Linked DNA regions of Caenorhabditis elegans. The protein of the gene in region 3 interacts with the protein of the main gene of each other region in a biochemical or structural test. Each region holds a gene or a part of one and is shown on either strand. Other genes may lie near its edges. The genes, in order: npr-6, npr-4, flp-15 and npr-11.

Evidence for each region.
Region 1: of the proteins of flp-15 (region 3) and npr-6, one has a biochemical effect on the other in vitro, tested with the Caenorhabditis elegans proteins (one study listed by BioGRID).
Region 2: of the proteins of flp-15 (region 3) and npr-4, one has a biochemical effect on the other in vitro, tested with the Caenorhabditis elegans proteins (one study listed by BioGRID).
Region 4: of the proteins of flp-15 (region 3) and npr-11, one has a biochemical effect on the other in vitro, tested with the Caenorhabditis elegans proteins (one study listed by BioGRID).

What each region holds. Positions count from the first base shown.
Region 1 is NC_003284.9:10,282,297-10,287,279, forward strand, and holds npr-6 (G-protein coupled receptors family 1 profile domain-containing protein), read right to left. Parts: upstream 3,439-4,983; 5' UTR 3,400-3,438; coding exon 3,316-3,399; intron 3,187-3,315; coding exon 3,100-3,186; intron 3,049-3,099; coding exon 2,954-3,048; intron 2,905-2,953; coding exon 2,819-2,904; intron 2,762-2,818; coding exon 2,649-2,761; intron 2,430-2,648; coding exon 2,253-2,429; intron 2,165-2,252; coding exon 1,989-2,164; intron 1,942-1,988; coding exon 1,804-1,941; intron 1,313-1,803; coding exon 1,239-1,312; intron 1,191-1,238; coding exon 1,107-1,190; intron 950-1,106; coding exon 855-949; 3' UTR 523-854; downstream 1-522. Other genes in the region: slc-9B.1 (Cation/H+ exchanger transmembrane domain-containing protein), read left to right, coding at 1-27, 82-213.
Region 2 is NC_003284.9:12,548,635-12,553,223, reverse strand, and holds the start of npr-4 (G-protein coupled receptors family 1 profile domain-containing protein), read left to right. Parts: upstream 1-1,546; 5' UTR 1,547-1,584; intron 1,585-1,634; 5' UTR 1,635-1,702; coding exon 1,703-1,767; intron 1,768-4,589.
Region 3 is NC_003281.10:13,662,857-13,669,373, reverse strand, and holds flp-15 (FMRF-Like Peptide), read left to right. Parts: upstream 1-1,534; 5' UTR 1,535-1,570; coding exon 1,571-1,634; intron 1,635-5,317; coding exon 5,318-5,380; intron 5,381-5,689; coding exon 5,690-5,826; 3' UTR 5,827-5,974; downstream 5,975-6,517.
Region 4 is NC_003284.9:1,251,300-1,257,539, reverse strand, and holds npr-11 (Putative neuropeptide Y receptor 11), read left to right. Parts: upstream 1-1,892; 5' UTR 1,893-1,924; coding exon 1,925-2,035; intron 2,036-2,149; coding exon 2,150-2,299; intron 2,300-2,354; coding exon 2,355-2,503; intron 2,504-2,554; coding exon 2,555-2,753; intron 2,754-3,156; coding exon 3,157-3,326; intron 3,327-3,974; coding exon 3,975-4,071; intron 4,072-4,120; coding exon 4,121-4,281; intron 4,282-5,370; coding exon 5,371-5,542; 3' UTR 5,543-5,725; downstream 5,726-6,240. UniProt on the Caenorhabditis elegans protein: Could be a receptor for neuropeptide Y and peptide YY.

The DNA.
Region 1 (4,983 bases), on a different chromosome or scaffold from region 3:
AAATGTCTCTCTCAATACAATCCACAGGTAGCGTTCTCACTCCCATTTTTGAAATGCAATGTGAAACAAATTTTCATTCAGGATGCGCCGGCAATTGAGAAAAATTTTGACAAAACCTATATGAATGGTGATCATGTTGATGAAACCATCTATGCCGCCCGTCCGAAGACATATTCGGAATACCGCAGTGAAGCTGTTATCGAAAGATATTAAAAATTTACCCAAACTTTTTAGATTTTATTACAATTTTCCTCTGAAAAAAAAAACAAAATAATTCCTAATTTCCCATATTTATAATATTATTATCAAGTCAATTCAAATTCAATTTAAATGACCATAACCAGGAAAAGACATTTCACCAATTTTCCAATTCGATTTATTTTACTTATCCACATCTACCAATTTCCCGTTCCAGCATGTTTTTAAATATGTCATTCTGAAATTTCGTCATGATTCTGTTATACCCTTCTTACTTGAACCATATCTGATCTTATCAACCACACCAGTTGAACCAATTTTTTGTAACCAATATGAAATTTCATTTACAAATATTTTATCAAAATGTGACAAGAAGAAGAAACAAAAGATAAATCAGCATCAAGCAAGATTTGTGCAAATACAGCAGTGCATAAGTTAAGTATAACCACATAGTTTAGATCAGGACAGGTTTGATCAGAGATTTAGCTGAAAAAATCTTAGGAAAGAAAAACAATATGACCAAAAAAATAAAATGTTGAATAAGTGTTTTTATGAAAATTACATATGAAGGCAAGTGGAAAGCGGATAAATGTACTGGCAAGTGACATGACTAAAAGCGACTTTTGTTCTGACTTTCCGGTTTTGTATTGAGCGGCTTAAAGCAGAAGCGTCTGACAACTTGATCCGTTCTCAGGCTCATCGAGATACACGATACTGCGCTGCGGCTCCACTGCAGTTTGAAGTGGACTCTCTGAATCTGTTTCTAAAGATTGCTGGTTTGTTGAAAAGTTCACTGACAACGAGTGCATGCAGGGAATGAATGGCTTCCTATTCTTCGTTGGATGTCGGGTGTAAAAGTTCTTAACGAAGAATAACTAAGGATCAAACAACATAAAAGTAAAACTCACCAGAAATCACCGTAACAGGCTGTTCCTCCACTTTTTTTTTTCGGTTTGCACGTCGAAACGGGTTAGTTATCATAGCGGTGCGTTCTAAAAAAAAAGCTAAGCAAAAATAACTTCAAATTTATCAGGTTTTACCAGTGATGACGCGAATTGGACCAGTTCCAGGACGACGCGCAAACAAGCAGGGAACAACTTTTGCGAACTCCTCACTGAAAATGAGCATTGCAAGAAAATGAAAATTAAATAATTCAATTTATTGAATTTAATTTAATTGAATTTAATTGAATTTTGAACTGTGCAAATTTTTTAAATAATCCTAAATTTACCAAAAAGTGTCTTTTTTTTTAGTTTAATCTGTTTCTAATTATAAGAAGAAACAGTGTCACGAGAGGAAATTTTATTGAGTATTTATAAAAAATAAATTTTTAATAAAATAAATGAGAACTGAACACACAAATGCAGTCTAAGATAAAACTTCTTGACTTTTTATCAATTGTATTTTCTAGCACATGTTTACGTATCAAATTTTATAACTTGTATTTTCAACCTGAACGAGAAGAAAACAACCCCTCGTAATCTTTTAACTGCAATTTATTTTCCAATAAATCGTTGAGTCACTAATGATTATCAATTGTTGTCTGTATTGTTTAAAACGGGTTTTCGACCAGACGGCGGCGAAATGCAAATCCCATAAACCCACCGGAAGGTCTCATTCATGAATGCGTAGAGGATTGGATTCCAGGCGGTAGCTGTCATACTCATCAAATGCACGGAAAGGAAAACAAAACTGAAGTAGCCACGCATGAAATTATCCAACTTGAGATCTCGGAGACAGTTTCTGAATTTATTTCAAATATATGACATATTATTCACTTCTAAACTAACAAGAGGTTGAATGGGAACCAGCAAATTGCGAAGATGACCACCATGACAATCAACATCCGTAGTAAACGCTTTTTGCGCTTGATATCGGATTTTCTCTCGGTCATACTTTGACGGCTATTTAGGAACAACCATATTTTTATGTAACTAATGGCAATGAGTACAAATGGCAAAATGAACTGAAAATTGATTTGTGCATAGGCATAGATATATGTATATATAATCCCCCGGTAATTTATACAAATAATTTCATTGTCCCCAACTCACTTGAAGAATCATCACCACAATTCCAAAAATAGATCGAAATTCGGCATTGCTCCAGTCCTCACTACATATCAGAAAATCACATGGTTCATGAATGTAGTTGAGCTTCATGTTGATGGCATACGGAGTGACCAGAAGCAATGAGCATAGCCAAATGAGGACAATGAACGAAAGGCAAGACTGAATTTGGTATGTACGAAAGTTTCAAAAAAATTTTAAAAATTAGAATTTTTTCCAATTACAAAGTTGTTCTACACCGAAAACAGGAAAAACTATTATTTTCATGGAGGTTACTTTGTTAACTGTACTTCAAAAACACCTTTCTATAGACTAAGAAATGAGAGTTTTGGTTTTTTGGAGTTAGGTTTTTTATTGATACATTGTTCCTGCTCAACTTACTCTCATGGACATTCTATCATTTATATTGATATTTGATGAGTTGTGCACGATCACTATGTATCGATCTATGGCTATAGCCGTAAGTGTCCACGTACTGATGAAGATACTTGTACCTGTATAGTTAGATGCTTGATCACTGCTTAACTTCCCGTCTATATGTAAACCAATACCTTGGAACAGGGGTAAACCATGACACAATCCACCTCCGAATATCCAATGTCCTATTGAGGTGTATGTTGGTGTAAGCCACAACGATCTGAATATAAGAACCGGATATATCACTTCCGATTTCAAAAAAAACCCACGTAAAGTTAACCATTATATCAGAAACTGCGAGATTTGTAATAAAAATGTTGGTGATCGTCTGCATTCGCTTGTTCGTCATCACAACGTACACCACCTTAAACACAGTTGTTGGAAAACTGGAGAAATCGAAAATGATATTACTTACCAAAAAATTACCGGAACTAGCAACCAAAAAAACAGCACAATACATAGAAATAAAGAATGGGCGGAAATATTCCATTTCCATGGGGTTCTGAAACGTGTTTTTTTAAAATAAAAATTACTCGGCTTCAGTTAAAATAATTCATAATCAAATAGTTTCAATGAACATTTTTGATTTTTTTTCAAACGTTCACGAACAATTTTGGACACGAAAACTTACGTTTTTGATTTTACATGTACTTTGATATGAAGGTGTTGTTTCATTTAGTATAGAAGACACTGAAGGCACGAGATCATTCGACATCTGAATCAAATATTATCAGAAATTGGGATAAACGAAGAGCTGAAAATATTAGAATCGGGAGATAAATCGAGTACATTTTAAGAATTGTGAACTGGATATGTTTGGTTGCGATGTGTCTCGTTTAGACCTCTTTAAGTTCATAATATTCTGACGTGGGCGCGGTGGAAGAGTCGGAAATGAACTTGATTTTAAGGAGAAAAAACGAGATTTGACACGTTTCATAGAGCAAAAGATGTTAGAAGTATTTTCAAATTTAAAGCTCCCAAAAGAATATAAAATTGAGAATATGTTAAGTCAGTTATGAAAATTTAATGATATTCGCATCTTTGCAATTGACACTAGAAGAGCGACCACATCTAAACTAGAAATCTACATAGTTCATATAATACAAAACTGATGTCATGATTTTTGAAAAAAAAAATCAATAAAAATTACAATATTAATAATACACTATTAAACAGATTCAATAGAACCCAAAGTTTTCAATGATTTTTTAAAAATTGTTTGTTTTCAATTCTTCTTGTCAATCAAATAAAAAAGAGAACATGAGCCAAACACTTCCCTCATTTTCTTATTTTCTCACTTTCTGTGTGAGACTTGCAATTCTAGACGCGAAAAGTGAATCTCAAAGTGAGAAAAGAGGAGGCGTCGTGAACTTTTAAAAGGGAAAGAATCCATATACATGTGAGAAATTTTCTCTTTTTCGAAATAAGCTGAGACCCTTCTTTTTTCCCTTTACGTTAAACAAACTACATACTCATTTATTTAAAATTTGCCTAAAAACTGGTACGCAAACGCACAAAGCGAATCGAGAGTCCTTTGATTTATGTTATGAATTCATCTTCGATGAAGCGAATTTTGAATTTCCTATAAAAAACAGAAAGAAAGGGTCGAAATTCGAAGAAGAAGACGCTTACGTAAGTTCAACAAGCTAGATTCAAATTATTTGGTTTCAATTGAAAATCAGAAATGAAATATGGACGTGGAGAAGAAATAGAAAAAAGATAATGTAAGGAGCCAATGGATTTAATCTCTCTAAATGGTGGGATGTGAAACATTCATGAGATGTAGGCTACTACGAACCAAGGATAATGTTATTATCTTGATTGATAAAGCTCTCATTGTTGCAAAAAAAAGGACTCGCATAGTAGGTGACCTTTTTTAGAACATTTCCTTTTGATAGTTTCGTCTTTGCCCTTGCCCTGTCTATGTATAGGGTTCATCCGTCTATTCTCTATTTTTCGTCTGGAAATCCGACTCCAATACCGCGGAAATTGAATTTCGACCGGGCGATGAGGGGCACCAGAAAAAAGTCGAGAAAAACTGAAGCACTCCTTGAGGTGGAAAAGGAGAAACGTTGCACATGAACTAAAGTAAACAATTCTGAGAGGGCGGATAAGCTTTGGTGAAACTGAGACAACCAAATACAGCTCAAAATTGTAAGGCAAAGGATAGAAATTGGATAATGAGCGTAGGAAAACATTTTTGAAAACAGAAATCAGAATAAATCGAAAATTAATATAAATTTTAGCTCAAGGAGTATACTTGATGACACAACGAAAATTTTAATGAAACGTCACATTT
Region 2 (4,589 bases), on a different chromosome or scaffold from region 3:
TACATACGAAAAAAAAAACAAAATTATAAATATCTGTGCAACAAGCCCACAAACTTTTCACTGACTTTGTTGTTTTTATGGATAATTCCAGTGTTTCTTACTAATTTATAAACGCTGATAAATAGTTATGTATTTTGAAAGCAGTCTCTGAAAAAAAACACGATATTAAATCAAAAAAATTTTACAAAAAAGCAAAAAGATTTGATATACATAACATTGTAACAGAATTTACGGCCTTTCCAACAAAACAAGTTTCTGTTGTCTTATAAAAATTATTCCAAAGATCTGGGAAAGTTCATTCAATATCCCCAGCGCTCATTACCATTTTCTTACGCATCGCACTTGGTCTCCGAACCTTCATTGCATTCACCTGAATCTTAGATAGCAAATGACGAAATCAGCCCAATCCTCCAATCATCCAATCGCAGACTTGAATAATCAACGCAACATTTGCACATCCTTAGAGGTCATCCCCGCATGACTCTATCATCCTTTTCTCCGAACCTTTTTTCCTCCGCTCTCCGCCCTCCATTCTTCTTTTTCCTGGCTTCAATCCCTTTTTTTACAACCAAATGGACCCTCTAAGACAATTGAGCAACGCCTGCGGAAGAAGGGCAAGCCAATCTGCAGTCGGTTGGTCCTTTTTTATTATTTACCTTACACTTGTTTCCGTTTTAATTGTTGCGATCTTTGTACAAGAAGAAAATCATGTTGGTTTTTGATGAAGTGAGTTCGGAGTTCGAATTGTTCTTTCAACTCCAAAAATCGAAGCACTTTTGTTTTATATTTTCGGTTTCACAGTATAACAAAAATTTGTTTGTAGAGTCATGTTTAGATTAGTATATAAAAATGTTAAATTCCACAAATTTGATTGAAAAACAAAAGTAGTGATTATTGTTTGTGTATTTCTCGAAACTTATTTTTCCAATTGTAAGGAAATATGAAATCAACTAATTCTATGGATAACATATAATTTAGTTTTAATTTGAAAAATAAAATAATGTTGTAGAACTTTAATGTAGTACACATTGAAAAAAAATAGGTTTGGCGGTAAAGCTTTCTAGTTCACCCATCTTCAAGTAATGCAAAATTGAAGTTTTCTTACCTGTTCTAGTTGGTTTTGAAATTCTCCTTAAACAAATTAAAGATAATTTTATTCAATTAAAAAATATTTTCCAGTATTTGACTTTTCACCAAAGTTAAAACAACTTGAAAAAAAGTTCAAGGTGTTTTCACATGTTCTAGTCTAGACTAGTTTCTTCAAAAGTGAAAAGACTTACAAAGGCAAAAATCCTTTGTCATTGTAATCCTCCGCCATAAAATTTTGTTTGTTTTTTTCTAAGAATCTGAAAATTAACTTTTCCGCCTGTCTTGCTCCATTTTTCTCATTCCAACTCGATTAGTTTATTGCATTAGTGCAGAATGTACAAACGTTTCTGAAAACAAACGCTTTTGGTGCCAGATGTTGAGGATAATATTAATCTTTTCTCACAATTTCTTCTTGTCCATTCTTTCTTTGAATTTATCTAAATACAATTTGTTTCAGCCCAGCTTGCCTTGGCACCAGGCTCTCATTTAATCACGGTAAGCCTCTCGGTCACTGTAAACTATATAACCAATCGTTTGATTTTCAGATATCAACACAAAGTTTACGGAGAATTGCAACTGAAAAGTTGTTAGGTGAAGACACATATACAGAACAATGTTACTGGAAATTGGCACAATAACAATCGGGAATATAACCCGAGCAAGAAAGTTTGGAGAAAGGTAAGTTCCTGAAAATGGAAAATGGGTCCCCCTCCGCATTTCAAATGAGGTGTCTATTAGTTTCTGGGAAAGTTGAAAGAGAAACCCTCCCACAACTCAAGTGTTAAAGTTCTAAGCCCAAATTCAGACACTTGTGAATATTAGATTATTGCCTATTTTGACGAGCTATGGTAAAAAAAACAACACTAATTTCGAGTGAAAACTCCAAAATTGTGGTGCACTTGTCACACCATCACTCATTCTCTGACAAATCTCGATTGTGTTTTTGAGCCAACCAGCTCTTATTCGTCGCCGTCAAAACTTTCTTAAATTGAAATCACATCTCGAAACCTTCTTCCGTTTTGCATAAAATTGAATTTAGTTCAACAAGTTTAAAATGCCACCCCTTTTCTAGAAAACAAATGATGACGTTTTCCACGTTTCTCAGTTGAGAACGAGTCATGCGACTTTCAATTGGTGAAGTTCTTTTTTTTTTCTTCTGAATTGGTGTTTTTCCATTACCAAAAAAAAAAGGGTTTTTGATCTTTAGATCAACATTCTCAATTTTTCGGTGCCAATCAAGATTCTTGGTGCATTGCGTTAGACAATACTGAATTGCAGCTAATCATGTAAAACAAGAAACAAATCATTGGCAAAATTGAGAAATTGTACCCAGTAAAACTAAAAAATATGGATCAAAGGGTGGTGTGAGTTTGTTGGGTGTTTTTCGCAGATCAATGGCAATTCGTTTGTGATTTTGAAAAAAATCGCTACAATTGTGAACATTGCTCTTTTTGACTTTTTGCTAACGATTTTACAATAGCTCAAATGTTGAACTTTTACTTTTCAAGATTCTTATAGTAAGACTTTTCTTGAACGATTTAATCTAGATTTTTTGGATCCAAAAACAGTATTCCTCTTACTCGTTGTACTTTTTGGCACTTCATTCTCCTACGGACCAACCACTTCATCTTTGCAACTTTTCGCTGACCTAAGATAATCAAATTCCTTAGAAGGAAGGAAAACTTTGAAACTTTCTCCCGCTCTCTCGAGTTTTTTATACCACCCACCTATAGTTCCTCTCTGTCTCTCTCTCCGTACTCATTTCATTAATGACGTTTTAAAATAGAGCCGCTAAAGAATTGATCTTATATATTAGGAGAGAAACGCATAGTGTTCGATCTTTGATGCTCAAAGCTCAAAATGTTAAAAATGCCAGCATGGTGTTATTATAATGTATCTGAAATACAAAATTAGAAGGTATCTGCAGAAATGCTGACGTGAAATGTGGGAAGGGGAAAGAGGAAAAAAGTTTTTACGATTGGTTGTGAGTAGGCGGAAAGATATGTTGTACAGCCAGTGGGGACATGATTAAAACCGTTTAATATTGCAAAAATGATAAAATATTATGATAAACTTTTCAAAAGCTATTGAAATTTTTTTTTACTCCGAGTCAAGATTTCAAAAATTTCATTTTGATATTTGGTAATTTTAGCACCACTATTGTAATGGTTTTCAATTATTTTTCACCTACCGTACTACAGCTTTAAGATTGTCACAGCACTCCGCTTTTTCTTTTGTTTCCTTTGAACCTGCTGAAGAACATGATTTTTTTTCCAAAATCTTTAATAATTTGCAATATTACCGTATACATATTTCCTGGTTGTTACGGACCTCAAAAATAATTTTCAGTTTATATAATTGTGATGTGCTTTTGTTTTGAAAACACCACATTGTCTAGCCCATTTGCTTTTTTTAAATGAATTTTTTATGAATTATGAAAACTACTTCCACTTAAAAAATCAGTGGTTCTGGGAAAATAACCATTTATTTCATTCCGTCTTCTTGTTTTTTTGACCGCGATGAACAAATACAAAATGAGAACATTAAAAGAAAACCAAAGTCACGAGACAACGTAGGCACCCAATTGTCTCGTAATTTATGAAAACACCAGTCACCAACCTAGAAGTACACCTTTTAGCCGGTCCCGATGAGGAAAACAATGAACAAAGGTTGAAGTTTTGCTATATGCATGTTTGACGCAGTCTGGCTTGTCCGGAACAAGATGTGCAATAGATTCGAGCTTTTGCGAATATTTTGGAAGAAATAGTAAATGGCCCGATATATCTAGATGAGACTTGGACGGAGGAGTAAAGTGGAAATTCGTTTACTTCATTCTATTTTGTGCTTAAAGAAGATATTTATCTGAGAAGCGTTGGGAAATGCATTTAACGGAAAAAGCCTTTCACATTCAAATTTTAATTTTCGATTCCTTGGCCAAGTTCATGTTGCGCTGCGATAGGCTTAGTATAATATTTTCGGAAGTTATTTGCATGTTCAGCAGATTGCGTCACAAATGCCATTTGTCCGATCAATTGAGCTTATTTTTATGTTACTATTTGGGAGGGTTGAGTAAGAAAATGCTAACTAACATCGTTTTTTGTCTTTTGAGATTTGAGAAATTTCTTATTTGCTTTCTCATCATTCTTTGTATTCTCAAAAATGAATGTGAACCTTGGAAAACGCTTGTAAGTTTTTTTTGATTCTTGAAGAGTTGAAACTGGGCAATTTTTCAAATTTATAGTAACTCGCAATGTTTTGAGAAATTTTCAATTTTCGGTTCTTTTTGAATATTACACATTCTACGTATTAGTTTCAATTTTCAAAATTGTTTAAAACGTTCATAATACACATTTCTCCCTAGAAAGAATGTTTAATTATTTTGTAAAGGTTCTCCCCAATTGATCACAAAAACATGTTGCGCATTCTGCTCAACTTGAATGCTTGTATCAATTATGAATGATGGTTTAATTTGAGTATTCACGCGCAAAAAACGTGAATCA
Region 3 (6,517 bases):
ATTTTGAAACCTACGAGGCGTCTGTTGTTACAACTTGTTACTAGGTTAGGATATTTTTCAATTATCAAAATTTTCAAACTACAATAAAAATATATCATTGAAAAAAAAATGAAGAAAACGGAATTTTAAACACCGAAAAAAAACACTCGCTGAATTAATTCGGCGGGCAGAATTTTAAATTTTTTCCCGAAATCTTGAATTCCGAAAATCTATCCAATATAACGCGGAAAATTTTAAACGGTGTCTTGAATTCTGCCAATATCTCAATTCTGTTTCAAAAAAAAAGCCATTGAGGATTGAGTTATTATCAAAATTTTGTAAAACTTTCAAATTTCGAAATATAATTTTGCTCAATTTTATTTAAGTTGATACTTAAAAATGTATTTAAAAAAAGGTTCCAAGTTTTTCCCCTCAACTTCTCATCTCAACAAACTACAGAAATACCATTTCCACTTTGTTAGTTCCGTTAATTGCATACATAAAAGTCAATTGTCTCTCTGCAATATTGTGCCGGTTTCGTTTGAAATATGACCGAATTATGGATACACACGGGGCTACAGTAACACGACACCATTTTCAAGTGACAACAACTGGTGTAATAATTACCAGGTGTAATTATTGCCGCTCTGAAGTTTTTGGGGATGCGGCGGTCCAATAAGGGGTACTGTACGCTAGGTCACGCCTGTTTCATGGTTCTGAAACTTTGAAGTTATCGTTTTTAATATAATCTGAAAGTTATGAACATAAATTTTTTTTAAAAACAAAGGCTATAGTTGGGTTTTTTTAAATTCGAAGTTCTCGTTAGAAAGGGGTTGTGAATTAGAGTGCCAATCAGGGGTGCGCGGGAATTCTACAAAATGAGACGGTTGGGAATGTTCCCCCGATATTATTCGTTAAAATTTAATGGTACAATATAGAAAATATTTGCATTACTTGAAAATAACTGTTATTTCAGTAAAAAATATTGGAAAAATCTTCAAAAATCGTCTGAATGTTGAAAATTGCCGAAAAATTGACGCCAGTTTTCCACATTCGGACAATTTTTGAACACTTTCTCGGTTGTTATAAGTCAAATAAAAATTAATAGTAGTTTACAGGAAGTGTTCCTAAAGCTGAAATAACCACTCAAAACTCGTTCTTTGCAAAATTTAGTATTTTGTGTCATATCTACTGAATTCAGTCTGCCCCGCTACTTCAAATTTTTATATTGTCAGTTGGTATCACCGGAATCCATTTTTTTTCAAATTTTTTGATATTATCTGCAAAATTAATCTGAAAAATATATAGAATAGTATTTTAAGCGTTGAACTTTTTTGGTCACTTATATATGTGCCAAACTCCTGAATTCGGAGCAAACTTCAAAAGTGGTGTCAGGTTTTGTTGAAAAGTGGTACCTTTTCCCCAATTTCAAAATTTTCATTTCAAAAAATATCAAGTTTCTGACTGCTCATCAATAACTACAGAGCTGCGCAAAGGGCGGAGCTCAGATCCCGCCCTATCTGCTCGTGTGCGCTTTCGCAAGAGCTTTCGGCTCATTTTTTGGAAGAAGGTCTCCCACATACACCTCGTCATGCAGTTCTCCACGCTTATTCGAGTTGCAGTTTTTGCGGTTTTGGCAATTGCTACACTTGCAGGTAAGAGTTGTTGGCTAGATTTGCAAACTGAAAATACGATACGGATTCTATACAATACGAAAAATCAAAAAGATTAGGTTTTTTACGGAGTTTTATACATGTTTGGGTGAGTTGACCAGCTTTAGTTATAACTGCAGGTTTGAGAAGCATAATGGCTGAATAAATAAGTTTTAAAAAATGTATTCTCCGAGTGACGAATTCAAAAACTTATGATACATATCCTCGTGATCCGATTTCCAGCAAACTTGATATTTAGTTTCAAAAGTTTACATCATTTCGACATTCTGACAGGCAAATTGGCGGTTTACTCAAAACAGAGCTCGCCATTTAAGTCAAGTTGAACTTTAGTCAGTCAGATTGTAGATAATAAATCAAAGAAGTATGGAAATTTTTTAGCAACACCCAAATGTAACGGGGGATTATAACAAAAAAATTAACTGTCAAGTTTTTACTTTGGTGAGACTGGAGCAAAAACAAGAAAAACATTTAAAACAAATTGATAATAAATCGACCAAAAAATTCACTATAACTTGCCAGATTTTTTAAAATTGCTTTACTACCCTCAAAATTGTCTGAAAACGCAGACTTCTTAAAAACTTCTCGAAAAAAAAGTTATGACGGCTCAAAAAATGGTCTAAAAACTGTTTTGAAATTACCGTCAAATTTTGGGTATAAAATTTAGTTATCATGCGTTATCAACTCGATTTAGTAAGCCAATAGACGAAGAAATTTGGTAAAAATGTTTAAAATCTTTTGGTCCATCGACTTTAAAATAACTAAATCGAGTTGAAAAGGCAAAATAATTACATATACTCATATACTCAAAATTTGGCGGTGATTTAAAACAATGTTATCAGCCGCTGCGACATTGACAATTCCGTCAAATTTCAAATTTTGACTAATATTAGGCCCTTTTTTGAGCCGTATAACTATTTTTTTGAGAAGTTTTCATGAAGTTTCATTATGAAATTCGGGTGTTGTCAGACAATTTTGAGTCTAATAAAGCAATAAAAAACATTTTTACAAGTTATTTGTTACCAGTTACATTGTAACTGGTAACAAATTTTTGACAGCTCTAAAATTATAAATATATAATTTCAAAATTTCGATGACATCACCCTACCGTAACCCTGTCAGTTTTGATCCATTCCTCCATCATTTCTTGTCATTTCCTAATTCCACTTTCTTTGTTCTTTTCCCATTTGTCATTCAACAATCCCCTCCCTTACTCCTCCGCTTGTGTAGTTTAGTAGTAAAATTTTTGGAAAAATTCTGACTTTACGGATCACTGGGCTCCGGAAGTGAAAAGGTAAGGGTTTAGAAGTCAGAAAACTGAAGTTTTTAGATTTGTAAGTGGAAAAGTGCAAAAGATCGTTAAAATGTTTAAATCGGTTGTAAACGATGATGAAATTGATTTTGAAAGTCGCAAAACATTTTCGACAGCTTGAAATAGTGCCGGAAGCTGATAGTTTTTCCAAAAGCGTCGAAATTTGCAAAAAAAAACATCAAAAACTGTTTAAAAGTTTCAAAAATTTGCCAAAAGTTCATGAAAAGCCGAAGAGCTAGCGAAAATTAGTCAAGAGTTTTAGGAATATTCCAAAAATTGCCAAATTTTTAAAGACATTATTTTAAAAGCTGCCGAATTTTTTTGTGAGGATTTGATGATTGATCAAGAGTTTGGGCAAATTTCAAAATTCTTATAATTTTTCAAAAATTGTTTTCATTTTTTATAGAATATCGGTAATTTTGAAAAGTATTATTGCCGAATTTCGTGCAACAACTATTTTTAAGACAAAATTCAAATTATTTGAGATTTACAAGTTGCCAAAGAACCGTAGATAAAAATTTTATAATTCCTATTTCAAAATCAAAATGTCTCTAGTCTAAGGTGTAAGGGATTAAAACTTCCCACTAAAACTTCCAAATTTGTCACCACCCACGCCCGTCTACATAGTAGTGTCTTCTTCTTCTTCTTGTTTTGTCATAATATGTACACATGTATCAACCATAAAGAGGAGCCATTTGCATCGATTTTCATTCATTTCCACACTCCAGGGTCTAACTTTGGTAAGGTTTTATTGGCGGTGCACGTCCACTGGGGGTCGTCAGGCGATTAGTTTGAAAGTTTGAAACCAATGAGCAACACATGGGGCTCGCTTTATTTTGGAAACCTTTAGGAATGATGATGGTTGTGTATTTGAAAATGGGCTGGGGATTTTAATTTTAACAATTTAAAACGCAAGCGGCTAATTTCAAAAGTTAACATTTAAAAGTTAATTATTTTCACTGATCACGAAATTCTTTTGACACAATTTGAGGTTACTGGACAAAATTTTTGCCTTTTGGTACTAAAATTATCAGACGTCGATGATTGACCAAAAATTAGTTTTTTAGACCACAGATTTCAATATTATCAGTATTTTGAAATGCGATTAATTTTCCCAAGAAAATTTAATTAACAACACGATTTTATATTGTTCAAATTTTTTTAGAATTGCAAGTGTAGCAATTAATTTTTTTTTAATTTTAAACTAATATGTCATTTGTTTATTCCAAAATTGAGTTCCAGACGCTGCGACAGCGAGAAGATGGCAAAAATGTTTGATTTTAGCAGAAAATGAGCCTTTTTTCCAGAACTTTGAACTCGTTATAACTTTTTTGAAAAATGTTTAAAACGTTTCATACGAAATTCGGTAGTTTTGGGTCATTTTGGATCTAAAAAACAAAGTCTCGGATTTCGGTACTCCACCGTTAAACATTTATACCGAAGCAAGATAAAATAGGCATAGCAGCAGACTACAAAATTAGAGAGAAAACATTAGAGAGAATTGCAAAAAAATTTCAGTTGACAATAGTTTGATAAACTATTGAAGTTGGTTAAGAATTATTTATACTTTCAAAAAAAAGTTCGTCACACAAACCCGTTACCTAAAAATTCCAAAAACTCAGCTAGTCAAACAAAACGAGCTTCCTTGTCTAATTTATTCTTTTGTTCTTTTCTCTCACTTTGATAATGAAAACTTGACAAATTCTTCGTTTTTTTTCGAGAGCATCACGTTTATGCAGATGAGGGGGTAGATGTTTGAGATGAGTGATAAAAGATTGAATATTTTATGAAAAAAAAAGTTGGGGGAGATTTTTCTTTTTTTGGGTGCTGAGGTCAAACGGGGCAACATTCAAAATTTTGAGATTCTTTCCCAAAAAAGTACTACTAAACTGCCGGAATTGTCGAAAGTTTACCAAAGCTTTTGTCAAAAATTGTCTGATTGATTTTCCAGCAAATTTTCATTTTTTCAATTGAAATTTTTAAACAGAGTGTAGAAATTTCAAAATTTTGGCACAAAATGCATCTCAAATTACCAGAAGACAAAACAAAAAAATTGTGCCAAAAGTTTCACACGGCGTCCATTCGAATTATTTATGGAAAAATGATATGTACGTGTGTCGGAAGTGGGTTTCATGTGAGAATTTTTGTGAATTTTAAACAAATATTTAGAAAGTGGAAAATGAGAAAAAAAAAACGTCACTTTATAAATAAACTTGAAAGGATTCAGAAGGAATTTGATATTTCCAAGATTGGAACAATGGGAATTAAAAACTAATAAGTAGTAATTAAAAGCTCAAACTATGACTTTCAAATGAACCAAAATTTCAAAAAAAAAACAAGCATTCTAAAATTGCAGATTACGACGACAATTCGGTCGGAACAATCCCAGTGGCTGTTGATTTGGACTACTTTTCCAATTGTAAGCTTTTGAATTGTTAACTTAAAAAATGAAAATCACAAAGTTTTAAAACATTTGTTTATTCAAAACTTTTCGATCTCTTAAGTTTCTAAAAAGATATCAGCATTTCAAAAAATGTTCAGAAATACATTTTATCGCTGAATTCAAGTGAGAATACCATTTTGAAAATTAATACTTTTAAAAACATTTATAACAAATAAGTTTTCTATCTATTTTCAGTTAAAACTTTTTTATATCTCAAACGGTTTGATTGCTTTTTAACCTACCAATTTTTTTATGTTTGGTGACCACTTTATGCTAAATTTTCAGACGTAAAGAAAGGCGGACCCCAGGGACCACTTCGATTCGGAAAACGACGTGGACCATCTGGACCTCTCCGTTTTGGAAAGCGATCATCATTCCACGTGGCACCTGCTGCTGAAGACGTCGCGTCGTGGTACCAGTAAATAATTTGGAGAGCGGTCATTTTCTTGCCAACAACTTTTTTCTCCCCGATTCCGTTCCCCCGTTTTTCCATCCCTCACCTGACTGTGCTGCATGTGTTTCTATGAAATAAATAAGATGATTGGTTAATAAAATATGTTTTCAAGTTAATTATATTATTATTATTATTATTATATCATTATCGATGAACTTATAACAATTTTCAGAAAATGTCTGTCAAATGGATGAAAGTTTTGATATTCTTTATTTCGAGTAGTCGGCAACCAGCAAATTTCTAACTTTGAAATCGTGTTAACTCTGTAAACAGGGTGCACGGCAATTGCTTATTGCCGAAAATTCACAAAACCGACAATTGCCAAAGTTGCCAATTGCCGGAGATTTTGAAACCCAGCAATTGCCGAAATTGCCGATTGCTGAAATTCAGAATCGCCGGAAATATAAATTCGATACTTTTTGTAGATTTACGAAACTCAACATGAATTTTAATGGACAATTTTCTCTTTTCAAGCTCGGCATGATTTAATCCTTGAATGAAAATCGGCAATTTCGGCAATTACCAAAATTTCCGATTACCGCGCACCCATGTCTGTAACTAATGAACTATTGATCATTGAACTTTGGAAACTCAGAAAATTGAAAATGGTCGATGTTTTATTTTCTGAAACTCTTTTTTTTCTGAACTAATCGAGAAGC
Region 4 (6,240 bases), on a different chromosome or scaffold from region 3:
GATAAAAACCGAAAACAACGGGATTCTTAAAGGTGGAAAAATAACAGAAATCTGAAAATTTGCTTTTTTTAGATTCAATTTGACATGAAACTACCGAATTTTGTACTGAAAGGTTTTGAAATTTATTCGAAAAACATGAAATGGTGGTGTAAAATTTTGGAAAAAAAAGTTGTATCTTAGCCAAAATTAAAATTTTTTCAATTAAATAAAATCAGAACTTGAATAAGTAAGTTTCATTTAATTATTACCCTTTATGAAAATTTACTATAAAATCCAAAATTTTGATAAAATAATTGTTATTTAGTTTTGCTTAAAATTTTCTCAAAACAAAGTTAAGTTGGATCAAAGTTTTGGAAAAATCCGATTTTGCAGTAGATTAGATTGATTTTTTTTTAACTAAAATCAAAAAATCAAACATTTTCTTGTTTGGTTTTTGATTAAAAATTATAATTTTATCGTTAATTTTCTGTAAACTTTTATACAAAATTAACGATTTAATTGTTCAAAAAAATGGAAAAATTTTTCGATTTTCCGATTTTCCCTTTAAAAAATTGAAGAAAATCGGAATTTTTTACTTCAGATTTTCAAAAAACAAACATTTTAATTTATCGATTTTTCGAAAGTTTCCCTGTAAAAATCAAAAAATCGAAAAAATGTGTCGCAGGGGGTGATAATTTAATGAACCTTATTTCTTCAAGTTGGGACTTTTTTAATTGGCAAAATTGTGAAAAAACGAGATTTTAGCTCAAAAAACCCCTCATTTCTACAATTGTTTTTCGGAAAAAAAAATTTTCGAAAATTTTTGGTCTGAAAAATGGAAAGTCTCAAGGTCTCAGATTTTGGAACTCCACCTTTAAAAACACACAAAGTTCTGTTTTCTGATACCAGTTTTCTTTTGTTGATGTTGTTGTTGTGTTTCACTTCTCCATTTCATATCCGGCCCGTTCCTGCATTTCCGATGTTTATGGATATCCACCACAAGATGGCAGAGAGAAATGTTTAAAAAAACCGACCTGGGTGGCCGAAATAAATGGCGGTTGAAAAGACGAGTTCCGTCAAAACAAAGTCATATAAATTTTTTATTCTTGTGGTGATGCTACTAGTTTGGTTTAATCGTATTTGGTTGTCTCTGGTGAGCTCATTCACCGCTTCTTTTGTTTTTTCAAAATTATTTTTCATGAACTGCTCCCACACATTTATTAATTTTTGCTATTTCCTATAGCTTTTGACTGTTTGCGAGATTCTTTCGAATTTGGTGCAATTCTTAACAGTAAACCAAAAATTATGGTCATTGCAATGGAGATGTGGTCAGTGCAACTGATAAAGTCAATCAAAATTTTTGTCAGTGCAAATGATATAGTGGTCAGTGCAACTGAAAATTTTGTCAGTGCAATTGGCATATATGATAGCCATTGGATAAAGTCATTCGAAGTTTTGGTCAGTGCAACTAAACATCTTGTCAGTGCAAGTTGTGTATTTTTAGGCAGCATAACATAGATGATTGTGGCTGGTAAAATTGAAAAAATATTATTAAAAAAAAAAACTAAGTTATTCCTGAAATTCGGTGCACATATTGCTCCCAAACCCCTGTCTTTCAACGTTATTGTTTTTATAAAGTTTCAATTTAAAAGGGATATGGGAGTAGACACCGGGGCGGGAGAATGAGTTAAATGAGATGATAGTTTTCACTTTTCAATTTTCATTTCTTCTCTATAATTCGCAGTAATTACCTCTCATTTTTTGATATTTTTCTCTTATAACCGACCGACTAACCACTAGTCTGGATGCTCAATTTCTTGGAATATTCGTTTATTTATTTCCCTTCTGTGTGAGAAAATTGGCGTTTCACATATTTTTTTTCTTGCCTTCAATTTCATCTCCCGTATTTTTGTATTTTCGTCGGTATTTTCAGAACTTTCAACAAATGGGATCGGTGAATGAATCATGTGACAATTATGTAGAAATTTTCAACAAAATCAACTACTTTTTTCGAGATGATCAGGTTATCAATGGGACTGAGTATTCACCAAAAGAGGTTGGTATTCAAAAAGACAATTTTTTTAAATTTTGTCAGTGCAAATCAAAACTTTGTCAGTGCAAATTTAAAAATGGTCAGTGCTTACTCAAAACTTAACATTCAAATTTTCAGTTCGGATATTTCATCACATTCGCATACATGCTGATCATTTTGTTTGGAGCAATAGGCAACTTTTTGACAATCATCGTAGTCATACTCAACCCAGCAATGCGGACAACAAGGAACTTTTTCATTTTAAACTTGGCGCTGTCGGACTTTTTTGTGAGTATTTTTTGCTGGAATTATTGAAGATAGGAAACAATTTGAAAAATTCCAGGTTTGTATTGTGACAGCGCCGACCACATTATACACGGTTCTCTACATGTTCTGGCCATTTAGCAGGACATTATGCAAAATTGCGGGTTCGCTGCAAGGCTTTAACATATTTTTATCCACATTCTCGATAGCCTCAATTGCTGTTGATAGGTATGTACATATATTTTTTTTAATTAAAAATGCCATTTAACAAGTTTTCAGATACGTGCTCATTATCTTCCCAACGAAGCGAGAACGACAACAAAATCTGTCGTTCTGCTTTTTTATCATGATCTGGGTGATTTCCCTAATCCTTGCGGTTCCACTTCTGCAGGCTTCTGATTTGACACCGGTTTTCGTTGAGCCATCGTGCGATTTGGCTCTTTACATTTGCCATGAGCAAAATGAGATATGGGAAAAGGTTGGTTCTTAGTGGTCTAAATGAACTATAAACTAAACAATAAGCTTCATGTATCAGCTCCTATTAATGAAATATAAAAACTGTCTATGTACTGTAGTATTACTGTAATAATTAGGTTAATATGGTGTGACGATAGTCAAGGGAACTTGCTTAATACTTTCTATGGAAATTTGCTTTGAGTAATAGAAAATGTGTCATAATTTCCAAATACATAAAAGAGTTGAAAAAAAATTTAAAAAAATTGTTCCGATTTTTTAAAATTTTCAAATAAAATTTCAAATGACTTTTTAAAGTTTTCAGTTTTCTGAAAACATGTTAACTGGTATTATATTAACCAGTATGTATGGAAATATAAAAACAAATATAAAAAAAGACAATTTCGGCTAAACTCCAATTTTTCCAGATGATCATATCAAAAGGCACCTACACGTTGGCAGTTCTTATCACCCAATACGCATTTCCCCTGTTTTCACTAGTCTTCGCCTACTCCCGGATAGCACATCGGATGAAGCTGAGATTTGCAAACCGAAATCAGAATGTGACAACAAATACCAATACGAGTCAGAGGAGACGGTAAGAAATTTTTGAAATGTTTTTGTTTCGAAAAATGTAAAGTTCCACGTTTTAAGTGGCATTCGAAATTTTTGAAACACTGTTCTAACAGAACTTTTCTGAGAAAATCTGACCCACCTGGGCCGAATACCACAATTTAAAAATTGAAACAATTTTCTAAATTTGATGTAATTTTTTTTGAAAATTGGGAAAATCTCTATTTGTGCAAAAAAAATAAATAGCCCAATAAAAATTTTTAGAGCATTTTTTGAAATGTTTTACTATGATATTTGACACCATAGGAGTTGTTTTTATCAATTTACCCATTTGGGCTATTCCACCTTTACTACTGTGAAACTTCGAGAAAAATGTGCTCAAAATTTGTTATTTTATCTGCGGTCATAAAATTTTCAAAAAATGTTAGTAAAAAACTTTAATTTTTTGTAAAAAAATCATGTGAATGAACTTATACTAAACTGATATCTACAACATTTTGAAATTAACCCAATCACCCAATTTCAAGTTATTTTTGAAACTTTCGGATCATTACTTGCCTGGAGAACTAAATTTTGAGCTTATTCAAAAATCAAACAACTTAAAATTTTTCACATAATTTATTGTACAAAATAGATGTTCTTCGAAATAAAATTATTTTAAAAAAAGTTCCAGATCCGTCGTGGAACGTCAACGACGCACCCACCTCCTTCTTGTATGCGTTGTAGCTGTATTCGCCGTCGCCTGGCTGCCACTCAACGTTTTTCATATCGTAGGAGCATTTTCGTTTTATGTTCCACTAAAACCATAACAAATTTCAGTTCAACACATTCGAGCTGGTCAACAGTTTTTCCGTTACAACGTTCAGCATCTGTCACTGCTTGGCAATGTGCTCGGCGTGCTTGAATCCGCTGATCTATGCATTTTTCAATCATAACTTCCGGATCGAATTTATGCATCTTTTCGATAGAGTTGGGTTGAGGTTTGTGAACATTTTAAGTTAATTTTGGTAACACTTATGTGTAAAGTTGGTGGAAAATTTTTGCAATTTTGTCATTTTGCACAAAAACGTCCAGTACCAGGTCCCGTCACGATACATTTTTGTTAAATACAAAAGTATGTGCGCCTTTGAGGAAGGAGTACTGTAATTTTCAAACTTTATTATCGCTAAAATTTCATGAATTTTTCATAGACATACGGTTTTCTCAAATTTTCAATTATTAATTTGATGATTTTTTTTTTCGTAAAATTAGTTGATAAAAACAATGAGTTGTAAACTACAGTACTCTTTAAAGGCTCACCTTCCAATTTTTGAAAAAAAATTGCCGTGTTAAGACCCTGCCGGCAGGTGGTCTAAACACAGTGGGGCTATTACACTGTGGAAAACCTTTCCTCAAGAGTTATATAAATATAATAGGAACTACCAAGGTACTGTAATAGTTTGGTAGAAGAACTGTTGCGGTGTGTGGCCTGGTTTACAGCTTTTGTATCAAAGTCGTGATACACCCAGAAAATAAAAGCGATCTACCAATTAAGCGCCCTAAGTTGACACGCATAATAAAGAGGTCCTTTATTATGGGAACATAAAATTTTGAGAATGCGTATTGCACAACATATTTGACGCGCAAAATATCTCGTAGCGAAAACTACAGTAATTCTTTAAATGACTACTGTAGTGCTTGTGTCGATTTACGGGCTCAATTTTTGAAGTGATTTTCTTTTTGAATAGGGACATCAATATTCCATTTTTTTTCGTTTTTGTTATATTTTCCTCCTTAATTTATATATTATATTGATAAACAAATGATTTTAATTCAATTTGAGAATCAAGCTCCTAAATCGACCTACAGTAGCCATTTAAATAATTACTGTAGTTTTCGCTGCGAGATATTTTGCGCGTCAAATATGTTGTGCAGTACGCATTCTCACAATTTTGTGTTCCCGTAATACCATTGATCTACAAAAATTGCGGAGATTAGGCTCACGGAATAATGAGTAAATTTGAAGAAAATTATAGATGGTTGTACTGTAGAAAAATCTGAAAATTCAAAAAAATATCGCAATATTCCAGATCCCTTCGAGTCGTGATATTTGGAGAGCAAGAGTCGCTCAAGAAAAGTATGCGCACTGAATTCAGAAGCCGTGGAGGCTGTAAGACGGTAACTACTGCAGAGCCAGCAACCTTCCAGAGAATGAATGAAAGTATGATTCTGAGTGCGATGGAGCAAGATGAGCAGCTGTGATTGTTTAAGAAAACATGTAGGGTAACAATAAATCATTCCGTCATTGTTTCAAAACGCTTCTAAAACCTAATTTATTTGATTTTGATGTTCTTTTTTTTTACTTTTTTTTTCGTTTCCGTCAGTATGTTGCTGATTCAGCCTATTATGTTTCACATATGAAGATTTGTAAATGAAGCTTGTCATAAGAGAGATGATTGGTCAAATTTGAGAGAAGTGACCGAAGATTAGGGAGGGGACTGACTGAAATGCGCAGTCATGCGGAAAATTTAGGGTATTTTTGAGTTGAACAACCATATTGTTCGGCAGCTTTTCAAAACAAATGGCGTCATGGATATGGAAGTTTTTGGTTCTTCGTTTCGAGACAGGAAAGTGAATTTTAATGAACTACTCATCGGAAACTGGTCAAAAAAGCTTGTTTTTTTTAAGGGAGGGGGGATTTGATGTAAGAATGATAACAAAAATCTTTTGGGACAAAAGTATATACTCACGTGGAGTCAGAATATCTCATTTCGGTTTGATCTTCAAAAAATGCGGGAGTTGAGACGCAGACATCTCAATTGATTTTGCATGGTTAAAAGTGTGCTGACGTCACAATTTTTGCAAAAATATTCCCGCATTTTTTGTAGATCAACCTGTGATGAGACAGCCTGACGCCACGTGTATACTGTGTACACTAAAAAATGCAAACGCTACGTTTG